Linked DNA regions of Oryzias latipes. The protein of the gene in region 1 binds, or shares a complex with, the protein of each later gene. Links are inferred from orthologs where the notes say so. Each region holds a gene or a part of one and is shown in the gene's direction. Other genes may lie near its edges.

Region 1 (4,173 bases):
CACATTAAATGAGTTAAAAAATTTATAAAACATTTGAGTGAATTTTACATATTTTATGAGTTGAGTAATATTATAAAAAATATAGTTAGTTGAAGTGTTTTTTTTAGTTGGAAAATATTAAAAACTTTGAGTAAATAATCTCTCTTTTATAAGTTGAGGAATCTTAATATTTTTAATATGAAATAATACAAATTTAAGCCAACTGACAATATAAATTTTAATTAATGTTAACTTAAAAGTTTTAATAATATAACTTAAAAACTATTGCGTAATCTGTTACACAATAATTTTTAAGTTCAGTCAACTCATTAGGGTTTACAGCGATGCATTGGACTGGAATAATGGACTATAATAATCTCCCATTAGTGGGAACAATCACCTAAACACTGACCACTTCTTGGTTTCAATAGTACAATTCCCATCAGCCCTTGTCCTCAAACCAGAATGTTCCCAAGCTGCTTCCGTTTATTACTCACCTGTCTCTCATCTGCAATCACACAACCTCTATATCACTTGTCAAACTTAAGGCCCGCGAGCCAAATACAATACTTGGTGTGTATTCATATCTAAGGGGAATTGGAGTAGAAATATCGGATTGGGCAACTGTACATTAGGACTTAAACACTGTCAATATAACCTAACCTGACAGAATAAAATTTAAAAGGATTTATGCTAGAGTAACAAGCAAACATGTTTTCTGTGCAACTGTGTCACTTTAACAAGTTATAATAAATAAATGAGTTATTTAACATTAAGGAATAATTACGTTTATTTTTCATTATATTTAGTTACCTTTGAGGAGAACCACTATGCTGATGTGGCCCTCGGTGAAAATGAGTTGGACACCCCTGCTATATATACAGAAAACTAGCTCACATTACAAAAAGTTGTGGCACATATTTACCTTTATACTTGTAACTTCTGTTAATTTCAATTCTTAACAACCCAAAATCAATTTAACAAATTATACAGCATCACGTATTTGAGCCCTGCCCTGTCATGGATTTGATTTTGTTCTAGTACAAAGAAAATGCGAATATACTTCAATGTCTTTAGTAGTAGTATATTAGTAGTTGTTGTTGTCATTCATTGTAGTAGCAGTAGTAGTAGCAGCAATGGGACAACGTTTTTACATTATTTACACAAATATATCAATTTGTTTACAAAAAAAACGTTTTCAAAAATCATATTTCAACCAGTTAACGGGCCAACACTGACACCCAGAGACGTCCGTAGGAAAATTAAAGGAAAATTTACAACTTCATATCCCTAAGACCATTGCGTTTCTCCCATAATGCCTTGCTTTTTTTTCTTGTTCTCGTTTCTGTCTCTCGCGAGTTTATCTCTTTTTTCCACCGCCGTTGATCGACTGCTCAACATGGCTTCTGACGGACCGCCGGGCACGGACCCGAATGATTTAGGTAGTGTAATCGCAGCATTAAACACATGGAGCGTCCCAGAGCTTCAGGGGAAGCTGGTGGAGCTAGGAGCTCCAACAATGGGTAAGAAAAGCTCCCATATAGTGCAAAAATCAAAGCGCGTTGTTTTGAAGCTAGCTTACGGCTAGCATTAGCTTGGAGCACATAGTCGTTGAACCTCCGTCATAAAGCGCTCCAACAACAGGCCCGCAGAATGGTTTGACTCCGTTTAGTATTTTCATATGCATATTTTAAAAGCCGTTTTTGTCTAATATTTTACAGTTGGAATACCAAACGTAACAATTGATTGCTTTTGATGATTTCTTACAAAAACTAGCTAAGTTTTTGCTGATGATGATGATCGACAGTTCCATTGTTGTGAACTGCTTAGGATTTGCTAATAATGTGATCAATAATTGGTATTTTACGTCATATGGTACTCTGATTACGTTAATAAATAACTCCAAACCGATGAATTATTATTAAAATAAAATACAATGGTCGTGCTTCTCTTAATTTAGGCTCTAGAGAGGAACTCATTGACAGACTGAAGGGCTACATGATGCAGGTAAGCTCATCCTCGAAATCAACATCACACCCACACAAATGCAACTTCCCATTCTTAATTCATTTTTTTTCTTGTTGATTTTAAAAACTATTATTCAAATGGATAATAATAAAATGTTTTTGAGGGTTTTATACCAATAGTTTGGGTAATCTCTCTTGTAGCCCTTCACATTGAGCCATTAAAACGGTGTGGAACGTTTTTTAAATTTTACGATGTCTATCTGGATTTATGTATGTTTAATTTTGTAAAATGTTTTAGTATGCTGTATAGGGATAATAGTTCAATTGCAAAAATCTCAAGTTAATATGGCAACAAACAACTAAGGGAAATCATTTCATTAGTAGCCTAACAAAGAATAATTGGTTGGCTAATGAAGGCTATTGAGTGGACTTAGTTTTGACTGTTTTTAACTTATCTGCATTGTTCAACTTCTGAATTTATAAATCAGACTGTAGACATGTGATGTTTAGCTAATTTTTAATGTGTCAGGTGGAAAAGCAAAAATAAATGGCCCAAAATAAAAATAAAAAAGATTAATTTCATATCAGTCAGCCTCCTATCTATTGCTCTTTTCACAATATTTTCATTTCTTTTTTTCAGGTGCCGAGCATTCCTCCCATGCCCCCGATGCCCATGCCACCTATGCCCCCAGGGATGGGAATGATCCCAGCAATGAACATGATACCCCCTGGAGCTCCTCCCTCTGGCATGCACATGACAATGGATCATCCAAACATGCCACCTCCTGGTCTCACACAGGACGATCAGCTTAAAATGGTTCAGCAGAGAGCTGCCATTGTGTTACAACAGGAAGAAAGGGCCAAGCATCAGGTGGGATGGCAGAACTGGCCAACTGCTGCATTTGACACATTAATCGCTAATATTGTAGTACTCGGCAAAACAAAATTACTGGACTGTATTTAAACATTGTAAGTTTTACAAAGTAAATTAGGTAAAAACAACGATCATAGATACAATTTTTCAATGTATTTGGGTAAAGCCAACATTTTTTACTAGAGACCTTTAACAGAAAACACCTAAACAGTCACATTTGCTAAACATTGGCCTTTTTTTGTTTGGCTAAAACAGGGGGACGAAAATGAACTTCTGGAGCAGCAGCAACGGGTAAGGAATTGCAAACAACACATTTTGTTCAGCTGTCAATTAAAATAAGGAAGACATTTATTTTCTTTGTTTCTTATTGTGATTTTATATTGCTTGCATCTCTCATTCATTTCTTCCTTAGGCTGCCGTGCTGCTGGAACAAGAACGACATCATGAAATGGCAAAGATGCAGCCAGCTGTCTCTGCAGTAAGAGGTTTGTGGAATATCCTAAAACCTTTTACAAGTGATTCCATTCAAGATCAATGTCACAAAATGTTTGTCAAGGGAAGACGTCTCTGCTTCCTACAGTGTTGCAAGCTGACGTTAAACCAGCATTTAATAGTATATTTTTACATTATCAATCACAAATTTGTTTTTTTCACAAAACCAAAGTTTCAGTTTTGGATCCTCACGGGCCTTTACCTCCTGGTGTCACCTTGTTGCCATCTCATAAACAAAAGGTGCCACCCCCTCCAGGAGAAGATAACAGAGACGTACGTTTTTCCTGCACTTCTCTAATTTTTGTTTTAGACATAGGTTAACACTAATTCTGGTGTGATTTAAGCAAAGTTAGATTCTTTTGAAGTTTTTTTAAACTCTTTGAACTTTTTTGATTAAAATGCGACAACCTGCTGGTTTAGTGTTAAACTGCAATTCCTTTCTTCCTGCAGATCTGGCAGAATGAAGAGATTAGTGTTGGCGGGCCCAAGATCCCACAGGCTCTGGAGAAGATCCTTCAGCTGAAGGAGATCAGGCAGGAGCAGCTTGTCGATCCAGCAGGTTAGACTTACAAAATAAAATATCTCCAGATTCTTTACATTCACTGTTACTGTCGTAAGGTATGGCCCCTAAAACATTTTTATTTTAGGGTATAGCATGGATATGTGTTTTTTGGTTATTTAATTTAAAGTCTGATTTTTTTTTTTTTTTTGCTTTATTTTTTTCAACAGAACCTGATCTGCCTTAAGTGTGATTTTTTTTATTACTGATTATAAAACCAAAACAAAAAAGCATAGTTAAAACTTTAATCAAGATGGTTGAAGCTTGTCAGCAACTAGGAAGCACGTTTGGAGAAAGAATCA
Region 2 (4,225 bases), on another chromosome or scaffold:
AATAAATAGATTAATATGTTATCAGAATCCTTTAATCAACATTTTAGTTGTTAGAAAAAGTCTACTAAAAAACTTGAGTTGTGGTCCTACAACTATTTGTAGTTTTAACGGTTTACTCAACAAACTTGAAAAAAAGCCCAAAGGGATTGTTTGTGTTTGGAATTGGTTTCCTTATTTCATAAGTCACAAGATCTCCTTTGGATGTTGGCCAAAAAGGAATTGTGGATTTTACCATCTGAAAGAAGTGCTACAACATTTTTGTCAACGGCTCAGACTCTTTAAGACATCTCTTCAAAACAAAACTTATATTAGACTAACATTAGATAAATACACCTGCTGTAGATCTCATAGAACTCAGTTGTGAGAGTTTCTAAATGACACTATAATGCATCTTATAACTTTTTATAATTGTATTATAAATGGTAAATGGCGTATAATTGTACTGCGCTTTCTACCTTCCTTGAAGGCCAAAATCAGTCACCTATTCATACACAGATTCACATACTGGTTTCCTGGTTGCTGAACACTGGCACCAACCTTCCACCAGAAGCAAGGTGGTGTTCAGTTCAGCGTCTTTCCCAAGGACACTTCAACGGTAGGGCGGGTATCGAACCTGCAATCTAACGATCAGAGGGTGACCACCCTACCACGGCTGCCCATGTATGCAAGACATGACAGCAATAAACCTGGAGCCTAAAACTTTTACTATTAAAGTTTTTTTGTATTGTTTGATTTGCAAAATGCAGTTACAAAAGGCCATGTTTATAGTTTCTTGATATTGAATTATATTTTTCAAATAAATGAGTTTAAAAATACTGCTAAAAATACAAATGAACAATGCTGCATCATTTGTTTAGCACCTACAATAATAGATAAGGCAATCTGTGATTTGGAACGTGGCACATATGAAAAAAAGGAAAGGTTATTATTATTATTATTGTTTTTGTTGTTATTAATATTATTACTATTATTGTTGTTGTTGTTATTTCCAATATTTTAATTGTTGTTGTTGTTAATAATGTTGTTGTTGTTTACCAGGCAAAGGTCACAGACTAAGCAACGTCTCTTTTATTTTATATTATTTCTTGATACTGTCAACCTGGACTTTGATATCCTGCAAATGCAAAATAACTGGATAAAAGCAATGCTGAATTTAAATGTATCAAATTGTATTTAATTAATCTTTTTCGTGTATTTATTTAAACATGTTCTATAATGTCGTTTGTTAAATTGCTGCATGAATGCTGGGGCATTCATAACAGTTTTAACTTCGGCTTCAGTAACGAAATTACTAGAGATGGATGCAAGATTAGAATAGAATATTTTAGCTGATGACCGTTGTTTGATTTTTTTTCTATTGTTGCCAAAAAGAATAGAATATTTTTCGAATTTTTGGTTTGCGTCGTAACCCGGAAGTTATTCTATTTAAGCGCGTTAATATCACCGGAAGTGATTCTGTGCACGCGACTGTCGGCTAAAACGTTGTAGACACGACCGACGCACGAAAGAGGCTTTGGAACTTTACTAAACGGTTTTTATAAACCAGGAATCATGTTAGTATCTTCTATTGTGTCTCGATGTTGAGGGCAATGTTACTTTTTACGTTTAGCTGCTAATATGGAGATCGCACTATTAAGCTAGCAGCATTTTCCTTCGAGTTGGTGCTAGATCGCTTTGTGTGGCCTAGTGGGTGGTTTTTAGAAATGTGTTAAATTGGATTACATTGCAATTACTGCATTCTCAAATTAAATTGTTTAAAAAGTTACGTCCAAAGCTAAATTCTGTGATTGTACATCGCGCGAAAGCTTGATGGACGTACTAAGCCTCATTAGCTAATTGCTAATGAGACTGTTAGCTTGCTCTATCCATCATGAGTAAATGTCCTCGTTGTGCGATTGCAGCATTCATTCTTTAGAAAGTAGAAATGTTTAAGCTTCTGCAAGATGATATGATCAAAGTCGTCGGTTATAGACTCATTTTGTGTGAAAGCCAAAGTTTTGTTCTAAATATTTTGTGCGTAAAGAGCCTAAACTCTTTGCTGATCTCAAAGCACACACTGTTCAGAGATTGTTGAAAACTTCAAATGTATCTGGAAACAATAAATGTTCTGTGCTCATTTAAGGGTGGCGGGAGGCTTTAATGTTTTAAAACTTGATCCTTTTATAAAGTCTAGTATTTGTTGACCTTTATTTAGGTAAATTGTTTCTCTATCATCCAGAGCAGCCATTTTTTTTAAAGTAGGTTTTACTTCTGCCTATTTGTAGTGATCATTGTACAAATATAAAGAAATATCGAGACTAAAATGTACTGATTCAATTTATCAATGACCAAAGCATTTATTGTGTGTGTGAGATAATTCCTCAATAGTTTTGATTCCGTCTGATGTAATGTCTCCTGTACAATGGTTTTCTGGTTAATACTAGTTTTGCATGTTTAGTTTTATTTAGATATTTGGTTGTGGTCCATTTTCCTGCTTAAGCACCTTCTGCCTCTCAAATGTCTCTATTAACTGAGCACTTTCAGTCAACAGCTTCAGCTCTCATAAATGCTCTTTTGCAGGAACTGAGACTTTTTTTAGCTGGTTCCACTTTTCAGATGTCTTGCCTATATTGTACATTTTTGTGCTAACTTGACTTTATAAGAAAATGATCATTTTGTTGAGGCACACAGATGAAGCCAACTCTTGGATTCGCATTAACAGTAACTAATGCTTGTGTGTGCATTAAATACGAAAGTGTTGCGTTTGTGTCTTTATATTTATTTTTTAATTTAAAAGAATAATAATAAAAAGGCCCAAATCCAAATAATAGGCCGCCCAAGCAGTCGATGCTTAAACAGTACATCGTTGCTTATTTTGTTTGCTGTTATCACTAATTCAGAACTTGTTTAATCCACAGGAGTCTTCTAACGAAACCTAAGTCAGAGATGACGCCTGAAGAGCTCCAGAAAAGAGAAGAGGAGGAGTTCAACACTGGCCCTCTGTCGGTGCTCACCCAGTCAGTCAAGAACAACACCCAAGTCCTCATTAACTGTCGCAACAACAAGAAGCTGCTTGGAAGAGTCAAAGCATTCGACAGGTATTGGGGGGCTGCTGGTGTAGCGGAGAGAGGTTTAAGTGTGTATTTAGGACTTTTATATGAAGAGGAAACAAACACGAAGAGCTTGCATCTTGATTTAGAAAGTGTTGCTTCACTAAAGCATATTTTTGCAGTCTTTTTTTCTTCTTCTTTCCAGGATTTGAAATAACATGGCGCCTTACAGTGGTTTTATTCTAAAATGTTTCAATTATTCCCTCCTCTCTTTGACATATTCCTTTAATAGAATCAAGAATAAAATACATTCAGAAGAATTCAAATACAAGTAAAACACTAAATATAAGCTCACAAATGTAAGAGATTAAAAAGGCGTCCATAGCATCTCCTCCACATTGGGTACTGTGCCTGATGTGGGTGTGGGGTTTGAATGATTTCATTCTCTGAAGCATTGTTTTGTTTTTTTATCAAGTATGAGTTGAATAAAAAGCCACTTCTTAAATACTAAACCTGTTTTAAGGGTTAGATGTCAACAGCAAGATTTCTATATGTAGTCACTTGTGTAATAAAATCAAATTTTCTTACAAAGCTTAAGCAATGAAGAAGGGAGATTGCAAGATGTTTTATTTCAATAGTTCTTGCATTGTAATTTTCTGATCTTTTTGGTTTTTAAAAGAATAGATTACGTATGTGAGCAAATCCACCTGAGCACCCCAAGATTTCAAATGCCAGTGAGTTATTAGTATGAAGGTAAAAATGTGTCTAAATAGACGAGCTTGTAGATTTGGTGTGAGAACTTGTAATTTACAATGTGAGAACTTGCACACCAAAAATCTGCATCTGTGTGTAAAAATCTTCTGCTGTAAAGTCTGACAAACTAAATCAGAACTGACAAATTCCCATTTAGAGTTACAACCTCCAATCTGGGATTACAACTGCTCAAATGTGAATCTGCTGGCGCACATCACAAGTGCACAACAACTGCGCTCTGACTTCTGACACATTCCTTGTGAGAAACTTGTGTCAAAATTGATCTGTGTACGAAAACGGAACGGGGGGGACAATAGGGTCATGATTAGTCAGTACAGAAAGTTTGCTGACATTAGCTTTAGTATCTTTAGAACTATTGAGCACCTTTATTATGAATCATGTCTCTTAAAATGTGAAAAACTATATAAAATATATTAAACATG

The links.
Region 2: sf3b2 (region 1) and snrpd2 share a complex: the UniProt entries of both Homo sapiens proteins name them as parts of the minor spliceosome. The link is inferred for Oryzias latipes from reciprocal best matches to the Homo sapiens genes SF3B2 and SNRPD2.

Annotation. Positions count from the first base shown.
Region 1 is NC_019876.2:19,504,014-19,508,186, reverse strand, and holds the start of sf3b2 (splicing factor 3B subunit 2), read left to right. Parts: upstream 1-1,298; 5' UTR 1,299-1,378; coding exon 1,379-1,502; intron 1,503-1,939; coding exon 1,940-1,986; intron 1,987-2,586; coding exon 2,587-2,817; intron 2,818-3,075; coding exon 3,076-3,111; intron 3,112-3,232; coding exon 3,233-3,305; intron 3,306-3,484; coding exon 3,485-3,585; intron 3,586-3,762; coding exon 3,763-3,871; intron 3,872-4,173. UniProt on the Homo sapiens protein: Component of the 17S U2 SnRNP complex of the spliceosome, a large ribonucleoprotein complex that removes introns from transcribed pre-mRNAs.
Region 2 is NC_019871.2:25,537,848-25,542,072, reverse strand, and holds the start of snrpd2 (small nuclear ribonucleoprotein Sm D2), read left to right. Parts: upstream 1-1,422; 5' UTR 1,423-1,551; coding exon 1,552-1,553; intron 1,554-2,897; coding exon 2,898-3,077; intron 3,078-4,225. UniProt on the Homo sapiens protein: Plays a role in pre-mRNA splicing as a core component of the spliceosomal U1, U2, U4 and U5 small nuclear ribonucleoproteins (snRNPs), the building blocks of the spliceosome.